Linked DNA regions of Astyanax mexicanus. The protein of the gene in region 1 binds, or shares a complex with, the protein of each later gene. Links are inferred from orthologs where the notes say so. Each region holds a gene or a part of one and is shown in the gene's direction. Other genes may lie near its edges.

Region 1 (7,034 bases):
AATGCCATCCTCTGTGGCCAATTTACCCAAACCCAGCCCACCAATCAGCACCATGCCTAAGCCCCCACCTGTGGTCAGTGCGCCTTCTGGAGTTTAAAAAGGTGATATAAATCATATAATATGAATAGGATTTAACTGTTATTTTTTGTGTTTGTTTGTTCTGGTTTACAGGTTCCACCCCCAGTCCGGACCACTCTGCTGTCTGCTGTGCCCGTTATTCCACGGCCCCCGATGGCTCCTGTGGTGCGTTTGGCCCCTGGGCAGGTGCTGACCCCCATGCCACCCATGGTACACGCGCCACGCATCAATGTGGTGCCCATGCCTCCCACAGCTCCACACATCATGGCTCCAAGACCTCCACCTATGGTGGTCCCTGCAGGTAAGAGGACAGTGTTAACATCTGTTGCTTCGGTCAGCAATTATTACAGGAACAGTTAAGAGGCCAAGATGCTTCTTGAAGAATAGATACTGAAGGTCTTTTGTTTCTCCCTCTAGCATTTGTTCCAGCCCCTCCAGTGCCACAGCCTCCCAGTGCAGCTCCAGCCCCAATGCCACCTGCTCACCCTCCACCTCCCCACGAGGACGAGCCAGTCAACAAGAAGATGAAGACAGAGGACAACCTGATACCCGAAGAGGAATTCCTGCGCAGAAACAAGGTGCTGTGTGTACTAGTAGGATATACAGTGCTTTTTATCAGTTTGTAAACCCTTTAGAATATAAATATGACCTAAAACATTATCAGATTATATTACTAGCAGTACATAAAGAGAACCTAGTTAAACAAATGAGATTTTTTGTTTATATTTTACTTTGTCATTTATTTATTAAGCAAAATGATCCAATATTACATATTTGTGAATGACAAAATGATGTGAACTTTTCATTTAAAAATTATATTGGATGTTTTCAGTCAAGTCACAGTCCTGACCATAATTCAGTCAAAATGTTGTGGAAGGTGCTGATTTCCTAAAAGTATATTAAGAGAATCTAGTTAAACAAATGAGACAAAAATATTATACTTGGCAATTTATTTATTGTGAAAAATAATACAATATTAATAGAGATTGACCAATCAATGTTTTTGGGGCCAATTTTGATCACCAAGCTTGACTGGAGACAAATGCCACAGAGATGCGAGGCAAACATGGTACTGATTCTCCTAATTATGGTCACCACATTTTTTGCCACTCACAACTATGTAATAGTGTATAATTTTCAATAAATAAATGAGCAAGTCAAATATTTTTGAAGTTTTAGGCCATATTTATGCAAAAATATAGAAAATTGGAAAGGGTTCACAAACTTCCAAGCACCGCTGTGCACACACAGGAGTACTGCAGGGCTGTAAACTGTGACCAGGGTATCTTATCTTATATATATTAAGAAACTTTCACATTTATTTTTTAGTGCACTGCACACAATGTTGTTTTTAACATTGGGGTTTAAGAAGGTTCATTGTAATAAAAATTAAAGTTTCATTATTAAATTATTGTGACTAGCTCACTTTTTATGTAGACTTTGTGTATGTCATGACAACAGGGATGAAAAAGTGGGTGTTGTGATACATTCTTTGAGTTTCTCACTAATTGTAAGATTTTATGCCTTTCAGGGTCCCGTGGCAGTCAAAGTTCAGGTACCCAACATGCAGGACAAGACCGAATGGAAGCTGAATGGACAAGTGCTCAACTTCACCATGCCTCTAACAGACCAGGTAAAGAGGCCCGCCAACAGTGCACTGACTAATCATTTAACACAGAGGATATATTTCTCTCTTTTTGAATTGATTATTAACCTTAAACATGTTTAAATAATAAAGTTAGTATTTATTCTTTTATTTTTTTTTTTATGTGTTTAAATAAAATCATTCTCTTCACATTGTTCCTATTCACAAGTATTTCTCTTTTTTTTTTAGGTGTCTGTTATCAAGGTTAAGATCCATGAAGCCACTGGAATGCCTGCAGGCAAACAGAAACTTCAATATGAGGTAAATTATAACAATTTTCAAAAAACGCAGATCACTTCTTAATCCATACAAGGGAATTCGGCTGCACAAAACAGTTTGCCAACCAGTACACACTTTTTATATTACATTTCCATATATCGAGTGGATTTCTGAGCTAAAAATAAGCTGGGAAAAGATTGTATACGAATAAAAATAAGTTATGACTCATTTTTTCCTAAAATCATACAAAATTACAAGTATGCATCAATCAGTAATTCAGTCCCCAGAGGAGAAAATAAAACAGCCCTTTAATCTATTTTATTTTACTGTGCTTGCATGACCTGTGTGACTATCAAAAAATTATCATTATTTATTAAACATAATTAAATTCTCTCTGCTAATTGAAACTGTATCTTTCGTCTGCAGGGTATTTTCATCAAGGACTCAAACTCTCTGGCTTACTACAACATGAACAACGGCTCTGTTATTCATCTCGCCCTCAAGGAGAGAGGAGGAAGGAAGAAGTAGTTTATACTCTCGAAACTCCTCCTACTGCTCAGCTCTATTACCATCCCTGTTTAGAAGATTCATATGTAGAAATTGCTGCAGTTTTTGCTTGGTAGTTTATACTGTTATCAACAAGCTGGATTCCTTGGAACTGTCACACTCTTGTATGAAATGTCTATAGTGTTAGGCATTTATCTTGTGTAGTTAAGTATGTTTTACTGTTTTGGCTGATACTAGGCTTATGTTTCACCTTTCAGATCTAAAACACTGCTTTTGTGAGATTCTGAAATGAAAAAAATGAAAATGTTATTACAAAGCAGAATCAAATAAATTTAAGGAAAAACCTTAAATAATGTGTTTTTTTTGGCATTAAACCTCTAGCTATTGCATCAGAAAACGAAGCATTTGTCATTTATATGTACAGGAAAACACAATTGTCTTAGTCCAGTTTGACAAGGCTGAGGTGAGATGTGCTACAGCGCCCCCTGGAGTGGAATAAGGGAATTTGTTCATAGGAAACCAACAACACTAAATAATCCAGAGCTCTTACTGAGCCACCACTACTGCATATGTCTGGTATCAGATATTAAATATTTGCTGAATGAAACGTGATATTTAAATGGTAGTAATACACCAAATAAACTCTTTTGCAGAGTGTAATAACTTTTCCACTTTTTTCACCATTGCAATAAATTAAATACTCTAAATATATTTGTTAATTTTACTTAGAAAAAATTACTGCAATTTTAAATTTATGTTGAGTACTGAATATTTTTTACATCCAGGCAGACACACCAACAAAGCTAAATATAACCTAAAATAAGAAGGGCATTAATTTTTTATTTTTCCGTTTAGCATTTTTATCCAAATCATTTTTTTAAATTAAAGTGGAAAAAGTCAAGTTTTAGATGCATGCAATTATAGACAATTTATTTGAACAGTATTAAATTTATTGAGGACATATGTATGCTATGTTATACATTGCAAGGTCCTTATTTATCGGTCAGCATTGCATTTTTGAGTATGTAAGTGTAAACAAACAAGCAAATAAATAAAAAAAATGATGTCGCTTGACAACATTTATGTAAGCATGTTTATTCCATATACAATGCACGTTTGTTTTACTCATATCTAAGCAATAACACGAATATAAGTTAAATAATTATTAATACATTTAATACAAAAATAAAATCAGACACATGTTTTCTGCCCCCTGATGGATTATCTGTTGCAAAAACAGATAAAGGTGTGTTTAAAGTGGAGCACATACCTGCTTTTGCGAAAGAAAACTTCAAATTCTAATGTATCAAGTATGATCCATAAAAGTCCTGCATGTGAAGCGTTATTTGTTTTCTTTCTGTATTAATATTTTATTATATACGGTTTAAAAACAAAAGAATTTTAGCAAATATTTTGTGGTTGTGTCTTTAAAGAGCTAAGTCCTTTTCTCAATATATTTTTATATATCAGAAGGTTGAATTTCTAAGAATATATTATAAGAATGGGCGAAAATCGTTTCTTTTTTTCCTTTTCGTGACTTTTATTATGAAGGCAGCGCTTTGTAGTAATGTTGTCACATCCTGAGGCGGTGCGATATTTAGCGGGAGATCCTGAAGTTGCCGTGTGTTTGTGTTTCTCTGTTTGTTTATGTTTATTTATTAATTTATAGCTGTGTGTGTGTCCTATAAACTGTCAGCACTTTTACAGTAAAGGACCTAACCCACTGTACAAGAGAGTCCTGAACCCCGAAACCGGTAAGAATGAGGGTTAGAGAGCGAGCTCGTGTACTCACTGTGTATCTGAAGGCTCTGGGTTTAGGTGTGTGTGGGTCTGAAGGCTCTGGGTTTGTTTGTTTATTGTGTATATATTATTTCCTCTCCGCAGTTTTCGGTCATGTTCTCGGATATTACGGAGCAGAAGGAGACCCTGCTGGCTCCTCCAGGAACGGAGAGGCCGGTGTTCTCCCGGGATGAGCGCACGTACAGCGGCTGCAGTGAGGGCTTCGGGCTGGGGGAGCGCAGCTTCCAGCGGCAGTACGCGCACATGTACGCCGCCAGACTGATGCAGATGCGCGGCATCCTGAAGGACAGAGCCGAGCAGAAGTGGGGTGAGAATTCTGGGTGTACTGGTTACAGTGGGGCAGCGCTTTGGAAATACAGAAGAATCTGTAAATACCTTATGATGGATTCTAGGAGCCAAAGCACCTATAAACTAATATCGAATACAATATAATTATTACAGATTACCCAAGTCTCCCGGAAGTTGCGGGAGTCTACAATTGATATCATATCCATAACGGCTCCCTGATGCCCGCAAGTCAGATAAAATCTCCCGGAATCTAGAACGAGTGGCCCAAGAGTGAACACATAAAGTGCATGCAAAACAGAGAGTGTTCTGATTGGCCTGTTCTTTGCAAAGAGTCTCTGGGTCAGCCAGTCAGTTTTTAGTGTGGGCGGGCAGTGTTTTTTTTTTTTTTTCCTCCTGGACGGGATGCGTTCAGGAGCATCGTGGCTCCCATCAAAACTCATTTTACCTCTGACTACTTTAAAGCATATCCATGTCTGGTAAAAACAGTGAAAGTCTTGCCCGCTGTACAGTTTGTAATAGTAATTTTAGTGTTGACCATGAGGACTAAATGATTGCAAAAGGCATGTTGAGGTAAGTTAAATGTGACCATATATAAAAGTTCTATGATCCTTTGGTATGCTTTGTGAGTGCGCTAGTTCTTGTTTTTGTTTTTTTGTTTTGTTTGTGGGGTGGTTGGGGGGAAGTTCGGGTCTGGGGTACCTCACTGAAATTAATTGTTGCAACTTGGGATGTCTGATCATTTATTATTGTTATTATTATTAATTTATTATTACTTTTAGTATTATTAACAAGGTTAAAACAATGATGACGTTACAAAACCTGAGCAACTACCTGGGACACCAGGTTTACATTAAAGTTTATATGAACTCTAACTATGAATTTTCTACCTACTTCCACTGCTGCTGGGGCTATTCAGCTAATTATATTAGACATATGTGGAAGTCTAATGCTTTTTAACACTGATTGATTGATTTATAAGTTATCTGACCAGGAGAGGCTGGGTTCCCTTCTATATTAGCCATGATAATACTTTCTTGCTAGCTAGTAAGCAATGAGGCTAATCCAGCAAGCTACCTCTATAAAGCCATACTCCACTTTTATCCACACTTTATTTTTCTCCAAATAATGGACACAGCATCGCTCTGCTGAAGACTCTCAGCCGCTCTCCCTAATCCACACTACACTATTATCACTGTTTCCCTCCCAGAAATACAGGAAACTATCCCCATTTTAAAGAATAAATCATGATTTTGAATATTGTGGTGATTTTATTTTTAAATACCACTGATACTAATATAATTATTTTATCCAATCTAACAGAAATTATTATTATTATTATTATTTTTTTTTTACATTTAAATACCCTTAAATAAATTCTTCTTTAAAAAGTCACATGGTTTACACACATGCAGTTGATATTTTGATATACATTTGATATTTGCACTGGTGAGTTTTTAATGTTTTTGTTTGTTTCAAGTAAAATGTACTCAAGGAAAAGTGGCTTAAATATATGGTGTCCATTAATATATTAGTGCAGTTAATATTTAAGAAGCACAGGCTAGTACAATATGTCTTCTACAAAGCCTTTTTTGAATCATGCAAGATAACGCTTGTGGACTGGAAAGTCAGCCTGGATTGGCATGTATATACCTTTTTATAATATTTATTTTCTGTCCTTAATTAATCCTGAGTTAAATGATCTGTATTGGAATGATGTTAGTTTTACTTAGCTCTGAGATTTTTGTGTATTACCGTGCATATTCCATGTTTATATCTGGATTTTGTTTTTATTCCTCAGTACCGAGACTCAGTCTGTGTCCCATGCATTGCGAAATTATGGAGCCCAACAACAAAGGAAAAAATGAAACAGGAAGATGTCTGCCTGCTGCTGTGTTTGGCTAGTGATGCTGATGTCTTTCCTGGGTAATCAGGTTCCTGTTATTAACTCGATGTTTCATGTTTTTTCAGGTACTGACATACCAATCAAGAAGCTCTGTGATCTGCAGATGGGTGAACAGTGTGTGATCGTGGGCACCATATTCAAGCACATGGAGCTGCAGCCGTCCATACTGAAGGAGATCAGCGAGGAGGTAGTCCAGAAAATAAACCAACCCATCAATCATCATTGGATGTCTCAAAAACAGCACTTTTGCTGCAAAAAGAAATGGGAATCTATTTAAAAAGATATCACAAATTTTGGAGCATTTGTATTGGCCAAGCCTTGAACTTAAACTGCCAGATTTATGTCAAAAATGTTTTTTGTAGATAACCTTCTTTGGGGGTTGGAATGCTGTTAATGTAAACTTTTATGTTCTGTTTGTGATCATTTGGAATATTTCTTTTCTTTACTTTTTTTTTTTAACTTTCTTCTTTATCATTTCTTTTGATTACCTCAGCACAACCTGCTGCCCCAGCCGCCTCGTGCCAAATACATCAGCCAGTCAGACGAGCTGATTCTAGAGGATGAGCTGCAGAGGATCAAACTGGAGGGCAAAAT
Region 2 (7,533 bases), on another chromosome or scaffold:
ATTTATTGGTCAAATTTGAGTAATTCTTCCATTTGTAATCTAGTTTATGAGGTAACACACTGAGTTACGGAACAAAACGCTGGAAAGTGTCAAAACGTGTTCATTTTTTAATGGTTTAGATGGTTTAATGATAACTGACTAATATGTCAAAGCTTTTCATACACGAAATGCACCCACAATTTTAAAATGGGCCACAAACACAAGTTCTCAGACCCTGGCCTCAACCTCATATAAGTTAATGGATTGAACCTTATCTAAAGGATGAAGGACACAGAAAGAACTGGGATTACAGCAAGAGGTGGTGGAGATTAAGTAACCGAGGAAGGAAGTAGAGTTTTGTGGCCACATCAAGCTAACACTTATTTCGAGTCAGAACATGAAATCATACATTGGTGGCTTTGGCCTACACACAAAGTCTTAAGGTATTAAAGACATTTTAAAAGATTTGTAACACCACCTTAATGTTTTTTTAAATCAGCACTGCTAATACTAATCCTAATCTCACTTTAAAACCAACCTAAATCTTAAACCTAACACTGCAGCCAATCTAAATAAACTGTTCTTGAGCAAAACAAGGGCTCTGCCTGAATTGCGTACAACCATTAATACAAAAATGTGTATTATATATAATAAAAGTAATAGTACAGGTTTAACAGGTAAATACACAAAATATTAACATTCACTCATCCTGATTCATACTCATATCAAGAGGATGTGATGAAGCAATGCTTTTCATTTACACATAATTCTCTTGCCACTGTAGCTGCCCAACATTTTTTCCCAAATTATACCTCCTCCCTTTTCGTTTCCACTGCATTAGGAAATAACAGTTTCCATTTAAACCATTTTATTCTCAAAAACTGAGTGGACCCATTTATGCATCATGGATTTCTGACAACACTCAATTTAAACTAAACAAACCTAATCAAAAGCAATTGGGACACCCAATGTAAATGTGACAGAGAATAAAGAGATACAGCAGAAATGAAGGTCAAATGGGGGTTAAATGGAGGTTAAGGCTGGAAAGAAAAGCCACATCACACGTCTTCCTACTGCCTAAAGAGTGCACTGTATAGCAAGGGTTTCAAGGGCCTTGTGCAGCACTTCGCTGAATACGCAATAGGTTTTCTCCATCCTAAGACTGGCAAACGTTTGTTTGTTTAGTTTCTGTGTCATTGTATTATTTACTATTAAGCATTAGTGATGCTTATTTTTTTTTAGTTTTGTATCATGTCAACCCCAGTTTTGTATTTGGATCTTATGTGGAAATCGAGATAAGTGATTAAACTAGCTTATAGGGTGTAATCTAGTGTGGGTGACATTTTTGGACTGCTTGACACAATTCAAATTTGTTCTCAAATAGTTATTTAATTAAAGAATGAATCAATAGAACAGAGTCAGGCAATGTGACAAGAAACACATTTATGTGGACAGTGAAAGAAAGAAGTATACAGAGAGAGACGTACAGAGAGAGAGACAAACTGATAGAGAAATAAACAGAGAGAGAGAGAGACATACACACAAAGAGAGAGGCATACAGACACATACAGAGAGAGAGACATACAGACAGACATACAGAGAGAGACATACAGACAGACATACAGAGAGAGAGAGACCTACAGACAGATATACAGAGAGAGAGAGACATACAGTACTTAAAGAGAGAGAGACATACAGAGAGACAGACATGCACAACCGACAGAGAGTGTCTCCAGGGTGAAACCCAAGGAAATTTAATTTTCATTACAGCCACGACCCGCCCCCTTCAGGGCACACATACACACCCCCTCTAACTCAGACTCTCACGGGCAGCACGCTGTTAAAGAACACGCGCCTATCCCACAGCTCCGCTTTACGCTCAAACACATTTCGCCCAAGACTGGAGCTTTACATGTTTAAATGTGGTTAGAATGTGGTTATAAACACGGTCCACGGTGGTTTGTAAGCGTGCGTGCGCGCGCACGCTCTGTCCCCGGTGTGGCGTACGTGCCTTCTTTCTCGCCGCGCTGAACGTCACACTGTGACCAGGACAACAGCAGCGCGCGCGCACAGCCTGCCCTCAGATTAATAACACTACACAGCGCTGCAGGTCAGTGCAGCTTTTCATTAAAACCACACACAGCTACATGTCTCCTGTGCAGAAACGCACTGCTTGCTCCTGCTCCTGCTCCTGCCCGACCCCCCTTTACCCACTACTTCCCTGGACATCAGCCACCAGGAAGGACGGGCAGTAAAGTGAGTTTTATTCTCACGAGCACCAATAACAGGATTCAGATTCTCACGCGACAGCGTGCGCGCGCGTCTTTCCGCGTGCACAGAACAGCAGACACGCTAATGCTCGTGAAAAAAAAAAAAACATAAATATATAAAAGAGACACAAGCTCACCCTGCGGCGGCGTCCTCGCCTGCGACGCTCTCGCATCTGCGCGAATCAATCACCAAACAGCACGACCTGACCGCGGAGGAGGAGCCCGACCAATCAGAGAGCGACTAGCCTCTGACGATCCACGTACGTGCAATGTGATTGGTTTACGCGGAGGGTCTTAAGCCATCTGATTGGCGGAGCATCGTGTCAATTAGGCGCTGACTGCTCGTGAGGAACGTGAGACTGTTTTTAATGCTGAACGATTTTATCCCCCGGCAGAGAAAAGGGCAGCACAGTTATTTTTACAGCACGCTGTAGCGGTCAGAGCAGAATATAGTGGTGACTACGACGTGAATAGATGTGAGGACATCACAGAAAATACACACACATGAACACAGAATGTACAATGTACAGTCTTAGTTCAGTGTCAAACATTTATTTTTATTTTATAAAATATACACATATTGGCAGTGTGGACAGTGTGCCAAGTCCTGCTGGAAAATGAAATCCGCATCTCCATAAAAGCTGTCAGTAGAGGGAATCATGAAGTGCTCTAAGACTTTGGGCTTGATATAACACGGTGAACCAACACCAGCAGATGATACGGCTCTGATTGTGGAAACTTCACACTTAGACCTCAAGCAATTTGGACCGTGATCCTCTCCACTCTTCCTCCAGGATCTGGTCCCTTGATTTCCAAATAAAATGCAAAATTTACTGATGGTCAGTGATGGTTTGGAGAGCCATGTCATCTGCTGGTGTTGGTCTACTGTGTTATATCAAGTCCAAAGTGTCCAACTGTAGAGTGATTTTCTAAACCAGACCACACACATTTCAATGCATGCATGTCTTTACGTGTTGTACAAAACACTAATAAACCTTCAACTGATCTATCCAGCCTGTCAGACACCATACACAAGCCATGTCCGTGTTAAATGATTACTACTGGTGGAATATGAGATGATTTTACTCAGTTCTGCAAATAAACGCGGACATTGTGTTACAGTCCCTGTCAGGGATTAGACCAGAGTTCCCCATCACAAGTCGGGCACGTGCACTGCAGAGGGTAGTGTTTTTACCCTAGCTCTGTGAGCATAGACTGTATATAAGATATGTATCCTGAGTCAGAATATATATTGATAACCTGTCAGCGCAAAACTGTAAAAAAACAGTACAATGGCTGAATTTTTTTCTTTTTTTTTTGTAAAAAAAAAATACATGTTTACATTGAAATTATTGAAGACCATTATCTATTATTATTATTGTACTCCTTTTCCTTAAGCAGCATATATTTGTAAGGTAAGTAAGAGTGTGGAGATTGCATAACTATACTATCCGAGATGCTGCGCTTGGTTGACTGATTGACTGATGAACTGATGAATTGATTGATGGATTGATGATTTATGAAGGTCACCCTCCCCCCATAACATTTCTAATGAATTGGATGCCATTTCCTGCATTCTGGTGTATTTTTAACAGGTTGTTAAACAACAAATTTTATCTACAAAAGAGGCGTAATTCAATTACTCTTTTAGAGTCAGACAGAAAAAAATATCATCTTTTAGGAAACTGATTCGAACGGCTTGAAAAAAGATTCAAACCTTTAAAAAAAACTGATTCAAACTGCTTGGAAAAGATTTTAACCTTTTAAAAAAACTGATTCAAACTGCTTGAAAAAAGATCCAAACCTTTTAGATAATTGATTCAAACTGCTTGGGAAAAAATGTGAACTTTTTAGAAAAATAATTTAAACTTCTTGAAAAAGATTCGAACCTTTTAGAAACCGATTCAAACTGCTTAAAAAATATTTTTACATTTTAGAAAACTAATTCGAACGGCTTAAAAAAGTTTTAAAACTATTCGAAAACTGATTCGAACTACTTAAAAAAGTTTAGAATATTTTAGAAAACTGATTCAAACTGCTTTAGAAAAAGTTTTGAATCTTTTGGAAAACTGATCCGAACTACTTTTTGAAAAAGTTTCGAACCTTTTAGAAAACTATTTGAACTATTATTTTAATCTACTTAAATAATTCGAACTATATGTATATAGTTCGATGCATTTGTGGATCAGCATGACAACAATACGTTTATACGTGTGATCGTAAAAGTACTTTTATTTTATAAGATGGTTTTTGTAACAGGGCAGCTTCCTGGGTTTGAGCCAATCACTGTCCGCGACCCCCTTCACGCAAATTTGCCGGGAAACGGAGATCGCGGCATGTATACGAGCAGAGAGAACAGTGGAGCGCGTGAATGTCAAAAAAGTGGCGGGAGATTCAGGCTGGGTCCGAGAGAGACAACACAGTATTGATCTGAAAAGTACGGGCTTCTATTTAACCTGCTAACCCTGTTTACTTACACGTCGGGTTGTTTAGCTACAGGTCTGCTAGTTAGTTAGCGTGCTAGCTGTGTGCAAACCGGTTTTGGTACAGTGTTAGTGTTAACACTGCTTTGCTAACTGACTTTTCTGTTTATATGGTGAAGCTAGTTGTTGCTGCTGCTGTTGTCTAGGTTGGAATTTGACTGTTCTGGCAGATCTTTTATAGTTTGGATATTAACTAGATTAGCTTAGCTATGAAGCTTAACTACGTGATGTACTCTAAAACGGTGTTGTATTGTTCTGTCTGTTTTTTAGTAGTTTTCTGCGGGTCAAGGAAACTTAGTAGTTAGTTAGCTAGCTAGCTTTAGCTCATGTTTGTTTGGCTCTAGCTAGCTTACCAACTTACCTATTTAATATATGGTTGATAACCTTGTACTTAGCTAGTTACTGTAACGTTAAAGTTGCTCCTCTGTTTGCGTCTTTCTGTTGTTTATTTTCCTGGATGTTTTACGTGCTATGTTGGGTAACAACACAACAATGGGGTGATAGATATTATTGCTTTCTCTTTGTATTAGCTAGTGACACTTCTGCTGTCTGACAAGCCACGTTAAGCACATGAACAGGGACTAAACTGCTCTTGCTTCAGCGTCTCTCTCTCTCTGGAAACACAGTTTCTTTTATAACTAATTTCATAAATTATAAATATAATTTACTCGCAGTAAAAGCTAATAATGCTGAGAATGAAAAATAGCGTAGGTTAGCTGGGTTATCAAACCGCTTTGGTAGATTTTTTTTTTTTTTTTTTTTAGAATAGACCAGTTTCCTTTGCCCAAGCCTAATTAGTACTTTTTGAAGCTATCCTCTAGATGCAAAACTTGGCAAAGTTTGGGCGCTATTAAATATTTTTTGTTTTTTAAATTTATTTCCCCCTTTTTGATTTGAGGTGTCTTCATATTTAAAAAAAATATTTCGGTTTTGGATTTCGTCTGTGTTCTTTACATCACAGAAACCACAGGACACCAAACATTGTATAAATATTAAAAGTAATTAAGGTGGTTGACAATAAAAAACACATCATATAAGTAGAGCTGGACTACATGTCGATATGTTATTGTATTGTGATAAATAGGTTTTTTTTATTGAAAATATGCCAAGGATATAGTTACTCCCTAAAGAAGCCTGACCCAACTGTACATTTTATTACAGAGAGTGTTGAAACTCCTATTAAATTGAATCATGTGCAGCAGATATTATATATAAATAACTTGACTGTTAATGAAAGAGTATTTAAATACTGTTTAGTACATTTTTTATAGAATCTGCCACAATAAATACATTGTTTTATAAGATATCTTTTAATACTGTTGTATAACATTTTCCATATTGCCTAATTCTCTCAGTACATGATTATGTACAGCAAGAGTGGTGGGTTTTATACTGTGCATATTAATATTGCAGTTATATCGTATTGACTGAAATTAAGACATGTTGTGATATAAATGTTCTCCATATCGTCCAATCCTACATATAGTTATACAAGTTATTTTTGCGTTTAAACATCCCCATATTAAAAGAAATATACGAATAAAAGTTTAATTTAGTTCAGTGACTTTGATTTAGTGTTTGAAATGATTTGTGCACTTTTACTTTTGCCCACCCACAACTGGGATATTCCACCGTCCATTAATGCATTGATCTTTGTTTAATTAGTACATTAACAGTGTTGACCCTTATATGTATGTGTGTTTACTGTAGGTGCTGAGGATGGATGGGAAAAAGCGCAATGGTGGGCCTACACTGGGTGGAGCCTCCCAGACTAAGAAAGGCCGAGTGGGTACAGATTGGGACGATGGACCTTCCCATTTTGAGGAGGAGCTTGCTTTATTTGATGAAATGGAGATGGATGCAGAGTCAGGGGAGGGACAGGCGGGTCATGATGTAATTCCAGTGGGTAAGTGGTACTGCCAGAGTTGGTCCCAAATTTGTATTGTTTCACAAAGCAGGATTTCTCAGTTATTTAATAACATGGGCCCAATCCCCTTTCTCATCTGTACCCCTACCCCTTGTTTTCGAGTGTCATCTTTCTATTTGAACTGAGTTACAAAAGGAAGTGGATGAAGTTCTCACTCTACAAAATGATTCAGCCCTGTTTGATTAAAGAAATGTACATTGCTTCATTATTAGGATATTAGGGATGCTCTGTAGACGACCCTGCAATTGGGTTCAGATTGATGAGTTATTTATTATTGTCCGTCCCTATTTTCTCTGTTATAGGAAGATAAAGTTACCTATTCACTAACTACTTATTTAAATTTTCCCAAACCACCTTAAATGCCAAAGTCCCAGTAAATGCTCCTCCACTATTGTAGGTGGAACAGGATTTTTTTTTGTTATCTTGCTTGTTATGAAGAAAAGGCCCATAATTTATTAAAAAATATAAGGTAAGATGCAATGGTTTTTATAATTTTTAACAAATATAAAGGTTTATTTGTGGGTTTCTTCAGTTCCTTTAGGTAAGAATGTACAAAACGGAAGGGTAGGACTAAGTGGTTGGGACAAGAGGTGAATTGGGATGTGCCAAAAAGTGCCAAAAATAGGACTGCCCATAGGAATGTATAACAACTCTTCTCTTATTGGACAGGCAATTCAGGTCCTGCTTTATATATATATATATATATAACCTCATCTTGTTTTGTGTTTGAGAAATGGTATTTTATGTTGGCTAATTATGTTAAACAATTTATTTTTTATTTTGCATTTTTTTCTTTTTTCTTTTTTGGCTCAGGTGACTTGTTCTCGGCTGATCTAAACCCTCGCTGGCGGCGTCCCACAGCTCCTACTATCAA
Region 3 (6,867 bases), on another chromosome or scaffold:
TCTCTGAAGATGCATACAGCATCTCCTGTGGCCTGGATCACGTCTGCCTTAGAAAGAACATTCTGAGCAAACGCCTGTAAGAGAATCACATTAAACCGTTTAGTCTATTTGCTTAAGAGTGTTATAGAATTAGGATCCTCATAACTGCCTGTAATTGATCTTAGTGGAAGAGGTGTTTAAAATGAAACCTGTACTTTATGCTTTAAAAAAAGACAGTCCAGACTGAGAGAGGCGCTACCTCTGATTTCATTCACATTCTCATTTAGACTTTCTTTGGATCAAAACTGCCCAAAGTGCAGCTCTTAGAACATTTGATGTGACCCTAACCACTCCCTTCAGCTGGATCACAAAGAAATACTATGTTCTATATTTTAATATTTCTTGTAGTTTTTTGGTATATGATAATAATGATAATAATAAGTATATTTTGTCTCTTTTTTGTCCTCAGCCCAATGTAGATCTTGTTTATTTGAAAAGGGCTCCTCTTAGTGGTCACAGTAAAACAATGCATACAAAAGATCTCATCATCCAGTTTGTGCATTTATATGCAAAAATAAGCCTAACTCTGATCTTAACTAATATCAATTAATCATGATTTTTCAGGTCATAATGCCTAGCACAAACATCATCAAACTTATTCTCAGATTTTTTGTACAGAGAAAACACACTCACACACACACACACACACATACACAAACACACACAGGCTCTCTCTCACCTCCACAGGGTCTGCTCCCTCATCTGCTGTGGTGGGCGGGACATAAAACCGCACTTCCATGAGGGACACCTCTGTGTCATCATTCTGATGAAATTCGAGTGTGACCTCATTTTTTCCAGTTGCACACTGAGAAACGCTGGAGAGTGGAATCTCAAACACAGGGCTGTCACTCACCTCAAATGACAGCAGTGGGCCTAGAATTACATTCAGAGGACAATTATTTTTTAGTAATGCTGCTGAGTAGGCCTGTCACAATAGCATTTTTATGTGTATGATATATATCGTCCAGAAATGATTGCAATAAATGATATTATTTTATTATTTTATATTTAAATGCCACTGACATAATGACTACAGAATGGATAAACAAATTATTAACAAATGGCTTAACAAAATATATTATAGGGAATAAAATATTTTTTCCCTTCACCTACTGAAGTTCACACTGTGTGTTTGGAGAGCATTGGTCATTACATGAAAAGCATTGATCATTACATGACTGGCTAAAATACTGTTCACTGTTATATATGTGAACAAACCAAGAATTAAACACAATTTTATTTCAAGTTAATAATGTAATTATCGTGACAGACCTACTGCTGAGTACTGTATTTATTAGAAAAACTGTACCCTCTTTATCTCTGCAATTACTGTGATCATATTCTATAAGCTGACTGTAAAATATCTATATTTCATAAAATGTTTTAAATCTCCCCACCTTATCTTCAACACACACACACACACACACATGGTGTTGCACCATGCTCCTGGAGGAATATTATTTCGCTCCACTGTGTAGAATTTTATGGTTGAAATGACGAGTAAAGCCTCTAGACTAGACTTAAATTCACGCAAGCCACTTAACTAATAGCTTTCCTCACAGAGCACTGTACCATGACTTACAATCCCTCACATTAAACCAAACTAATTTAGACATAAAAAACTTTATGTTATGAACTTATACTAACCATTGAATTTAGCAGTTCCCCAGTTCCAGCCTTTCACACACATGTCTTTCTCAGCCAGCTCCACTTTATAATTGGCTTTAAAATACTCTGAGATTTTTTCCAAGTCCTTGAAAGAAACAAAATAAAGAATAAACATGTTTAATTAAAATAAATATTGTTTTGAATTTTATTCACACAAAATAAACAGCCATTACACCCACCGTGTCCTTAAAGCCGTCATATTTATAGACGTGTCCAGTGCTGGTGCAGAGCTTGATGCCGTGTCCCAGGCAGACTCTCCTCCACTGGGCCTGAGTGAGCTCTGGGACAGGGATACTGTCCACCTTCCCCGTCTTACTGTTTTTATAAACCACTGTCTGCTTACTGAACCGTAGACGCCCATCGTTCTGCAAAAATACAGGAACTTGTGCTAATCTTCTGCATTATTTGTTGGCACATGTGAATGATACATATGTATTTTTATAAAAGCATGTTGCATTTTTATGCTAACAACATCTTACTTGAAGCAGGCTAAGATGTGGAGACAACGTCTTCAAAACATGGTGACAATTTAATTTATCTTCATGGCTACAATAATTTCTGCAATGTTTTTTTTAAATATATTTTTCAATAGGATAAGTGTAAAACACATTATGCATAGCTTAAGCCTGTTGATATATAGTGCATGGTTTTGTATTTACATTCAAATGGGAATTCCACAGGTTTTTTTTTTACTTTTTTCACAAACAAATTAAGAAATATTTGTGTTTTCAAGAACTGTTCATATATGATACGTTTTGCTTGCAACATTGTTTTTGTTTTGGACAAAACGCTAAATATTTTTAAAGAGAGATTCATGCGAAGACAGACAAATGAGAAAACAGTTCTGATGTACTACTTTTTACTACTATTATCAGAATTACATATAAGTAGTCAGAAGATGGATTATGTAGAATAGCAAATAAATTACTATATTTACACTGACCCTTGATTACTGTAAAAAATGTGTGTCAGCAAGTTTTATACAGTCCATCATTTCACGTCAAAACACTCTGAATGACTTTGTGTATTAATTAATTGATTACACTCAATAATAAAACAGTGGGTTTTTATTAAAAACAATCTCTACACATTACTTTTATTTTTTTATTATTTTTACATATATAGAAAACAGACATTCAATTTATCACATACTGTAAAGTGCTCTACTTGAAGATACTCACCCAAGAACCCTTAACTTCCTGATAAATATCATTAAACTCCAGATTGTCAGCCATGCCAGCAGTTTCCTCCCTTGTCCCAGCAATACAAATCTGTGAAAGAAAAAAAAACAGTAAGAGAAATCAATACACATACAAATCTGTTCTCCCTTTATCACAAATATTTTCTCACTGCACTTTTCTGTGTTGCCGCATTTGGGGATGGTAAAATCCTGGAAATTATGTTTAAAACATATGCATATATGCTTCTTCATATCCAGAATCAATGGATTAAAACTGCTCAAATCTTATGCTGTGTCAGAACAGGTGCTTTGACAGGCTGGTATTGATATATATTATCTATATGAGCTGATTTTGCTCTCTGAAGCCTGAAGGGGGGGTGAAGGTACAGGTGAAACATATCTTATGGGGAATGTGCAGAAGTTCAGTTCTGCTTCTTCTCTATTCTGAGCTCCCCTTAAATAAAGTGATGGAGTTCAGCAGCACCTTTTTGTTCTCTAAATGATGCTAAATGAAGATGCTGATGGAGAAACAGAACAGCTGCCATGCAGAACACCTGGTTAGACAGACAGCTAACTAACAAACTCACTGTCTGACTGTTTTGCTATGAATCTATTAGCTAACATTTTAAGCAGCAAATCTGACAATTTTATTTTAAACAGTTTTAAACAGTGCCACGGCCCAGCCAGCGAGCTAAACACACGCAGACATATTCGCTAATAGCTGGATAGCTAGCTGTGAGCTGCTGCTCCTGAAATAGACTGCAGCTTAGCATTCCTCCAACAAGCAAAGGACTCGTTTTTATCTGATATCCGCACACAGCGTCTCACTACAGGGTCACACACTCCTGAGTCACAGCGAGGGCTGAACCGCGCAGCTGCTGTTAAATAGCATTTACTGTTTATTGGAGAATTCTGGAACTGAGAGGAAACCGCTAGCGATGTCCAACTCGTGAATGAACGATTCTTTTGAATCGAGTCATTTAAAAAAACAAGTAAATCCGAGCCATTTACTTTTTTGTAGCTTTGTTTTGATAAATAAATAAAAAATATGTTTTTTTATATTTCCTTATATTTGACTGATAGTCTTAAACACTTGAAATAAAAATAGATACTTCCATATATTTATGTAGTAATTATTATGTCGTTATTATTATTAACTGTGTAGTAGTATATCAGAATAAAAAAGGAGATACTCTATAAATTATTTATATAAAATGTCATAATTTATGTATTAATGTAGTATTTTAGTGTCTAACTCTAAGGTCTAAATAATTTATTATTATTATTATTATTATTATTATTGTTATTATTATTATTATTATTATTATTAGTAGTAGTAGTAGTAGTAGTAGTAGTAGTAGTAAAAAACTAATAGAATAACAGAATCAACTCAATATTATAAAAAAAATTGTAGATACCCACCGTATAGACTTATGATATAAAATCTCATAATTAACCAATTCACTTAGTAAATTAAAGATGTCATAATAATAATAATAATAATAATAATAATAATAATAATAATAATAATAATAATAATAATGATAATAATAATAATAATAATAATAATAATATAACATGACAGAAATTTAAGGAGAGGTAAAGGGTTTTTAATGTTGTTTTTGTTGTCATTTTTATTGTTATGATTTAACGTGAGACTATGAATCGTTTGAATAATTTGGTTCAAATGAATCGGTTCAATGCTGAAACGAACGAGGCAGTAGAGCAACATGAGTGCGTACGTCATACGTACGAAATAAGCCCCCCACAAACGTCATCACGCAGTGTGCTTGGCCACGCCCCTACCCTTGTTTTGTAAACGTTCGGGTAGGAAATCTTATCGTTGACTGAGGATCCGCGGTGTTTACAGTGGTTACAGTGTTCACTGGATACACAGAGCTGCAGGTGAGTGCTGTAGCTTCAGAACTGTAAAACATTTATGAACACGAGAGCTACAGATACTGTTTATAAATATGTGAACACGGTCTGAGTTTAAGACACAGGAAACAATACCTGAGACTGGGCACAGCTCAGCTCAGTATTATGTACACGTAGACAGTGTTTTTTAACTTTAACTGGGATAAAATTCTGATATTTGGGGGTATCAGATCATATTGGACAGAGTTTTTGGCCAAATGGGAAAATGAAAGTACATGGGACATGCATGTGATAGGTCCTAAATGTGTGGTTCTTGATGGGTGTTGTCGGACACCATTGATTCCCTTCCCCCAGGCATGACAGCCAAACGAGGTCTCATCACTGACACATTTAAAGTAGTGAAGAAGGCGAGGAAAGATGACAAAAGAAACAAGAGACCTCCTTCACCACCTGCTGCAGGTGAGACTGTGTGATAGTGTGCAGCTTAAGTTAGAATCATGTTGTTTTTATATAGTTTGGTATCAAAACTATGTTGATGAATGGAAAGATTTGCAATTGTTATTCTGTTGTTATGTTATTACCATTTGATGATCTCTCAGATCCAGAACCTCCTCGCCCCAGTAAAAGAGAAATTGATCTGCAGGAACTGAGAAAGTTTGACCTGGACTGGCGTTTTGGGCCATGCACAGGTAATACAAAAGAGTCAGAAGTGTTTATAATTCTCTAATTACACTGACAAATCCTTAGTGCTCAGGAAGTTAATATTATTATGGGTACAAAGAAATGCCCCTTTCAAACTAAAAAAATGGCTGCTGGAAAACACTGGGTATTTGGGGGGAAATTTTAATCTAGGATGCACCCTGCTGTACAATTGTAGTGTTTCCCTTGCTTATACACATTTAACAAATGTCAGAGATTTTTTTCTATTCAAACTTTTGCACATATTGCTTCAGATGTGGCCAAAATAAGAAGCATGAGTAAAATCTCAAAAGGAATCTAGTTTCAGTCTTGCAAATGATGACTAATGATGCAGCCTTTGCATATGAGAGTGTATGAGAGTGTAGTTAAAGCATGTGTTGGAATAAGGAAAAGCGAAAAATATACAGAGGAGGGTGCCTCCAGAACCACTGCTAAATTATTAAATGTGGATAAACATATGCACATTGTAAATAAAGTATTGATTATTTTTTTCTTCTTAACAAATTTCACAGAAGGATAGAAGTCATTTGGAATTTTGGTATGTACCTATGTACTTCCTCTCTTGCATGTGTGAATGTGTATGTAGGGATCAGCCGATTACAAAGATGGGAGAGGGCAGCACTGCATGGGCTGGACCCCCCACATGAGATTAAAGATATACTGCTGACGGAGAGCGTGGACCCAGAGTACACACATAGGTACTATGAGCATGAATATATTTAGCAAAAATAATAATATTACACATACATGGAGGTCTGTAAGTGCATATGTAATTGTTTGTTCTGTCCTGTATTTCAGCCTCTGGCGGGATTACCCATTGTAAAGAAAGATGCCTGAAGAGAAAAAAGAAGATTGTGAGAGTGGATGATTGTTGATTGTTTATGATCATGATTGATCCAACATGTGAGCTTGCCATGTTTTACACTACGTTTATAGTAAAACCCTTTTAACAAAAGCATCCCTTTGTCATCAACTTTTAAGGTATTTTCTTTCTTAAACTGGACTGTCTGTCTTGAAGTGAGCTACATTATCAAACTCAGCAGGTAAGCAAAACAGGCTAACACACAATGCCTTGATTGCAACTGGCAGGTTGTATAGTTTATTCTACGATTGGGAATGAAGTGTCAAAGAAATGAAAAGGATAGACTATTGTGTACAAAATCTGTTAATTTAGGATGCATCTGTTGGTGATTGTATCACAGTGCTTGTATCAGCTTTAATAATGGAAGTAGCAGCATATTGAAAATAATCTCACTAGGCCCAAAGCCAGTCATCAGCAATTTAAGTTATAAAGCTCCAGCATTGGTCTGTGGAGTTTTGGCGCTGCAGACTTTGGAATATGTTAGAATGTGTTGTTTTTGTTTAATATAACCCTAATTGAACATGAACAGGCTTTAAATAAT

What was found. Proteins that work in one complex are often made in the same cells at the same time.
Region 2: pold2 (region 1) and pold1 share a complex: the UniProt entries of both Homo sapiens proteins name them as parts of the tetrameric DNA polymerase delta complex. The link is inferred for Astyanax mexicanus from reciprocal best matches to the Homo sapiens genes POLD2 and POLD1.
Region 3: pold2 (region 1) and DNA polymerase delta subunit 4-like share a complex: the UniProt entries of both Homo sapiens proteins name them as parts of the tetrameric DNA polymerase delta complex. The link is inferred for Astyanax mexicanus from reciprocal best matches to the Homo sapiens genes POLD2 and POLD4.

What each region holds. Positions count from the first base shown.
Region 1 is NC_064419.1:31,905,066-31,912,099, forward strand, and holds the start of pold2 (DNA polymerase delta subunit 2), read left to right. Parts: upstream 1-4,029; 5' UTR 4,030-4,203; intron 4,204-4,333; 5' UTR 4,334-4,342; coding exon 4,343-4,556; intron 4,557-6,505; coding exon 6,506-6,627; intron 6,628-6,933; coding exon 6,934-7,034. Other genes in the region: sf3a1 (splicing factor 3A subunit 1), read left to right, coding at 1-73, 172-379, 496-656, 1,610-1,711, 1,913-1,984, 2,369-2,470. UniProt on the Homo sapiens protein: Accessory component of both the DNA polymerase delta complex and the DNA polymerase zeta complex.
Region 2 is NC_064426.1:26,990,953-26,998,485, forward strand, and holds the start of pold1 (DNA polymerase delta catalytic subunit), read left to right. Parts: upstream 1-4,525; 5' UTR 4,526-4,686; intron 4,687-6,442; 5' UTR 6,443-6,451; coding exon 6,452-6,638; intron 6,639-7,472; coding exon 7,473-7,533. UniProt on the Homo sapiens protein: As the catalytic component of the trimeric (Pol-delta3 complex) and tetrameric DNA polymerase delta complexes (Pol-delta4 complex), plays a crucial role in high fidelity genome replication, including in lagging strand synthesis, and repair.
Region 3 is NC_064414.1:44,551,333-44,558,199, reverse strand, and holds DNA polymerase delta subunit 4-like, read left to right. Parts: upstream 1-4,657; 5' UTR 4,658-4,792; intron 4,793-5,119; 5' UTR 5,120-5,121; coding exon 5,122-5,224; intron 5,225-5,364; coding exon 5,365-5,454; intron 5,455-6,050; coding exon 6,051-6,162; intron 6,163-6,262; coding exon 6,263-6,287; 3' UTR 6,288-6,359; downstream 6,360-6,867. Other genes in the region: ssrp1b (FACT complex subunit SSRP1), read right to left, coding at 1-74, 719-912, 1,687-1,792, 1,887-2,072, 2,889-2,942. UniProt on the Homo sapiens protein: As a component of the tetrameric DNA polymerase delta complex (Pol-delta4), plays a role in high fidelity genome replication and repair.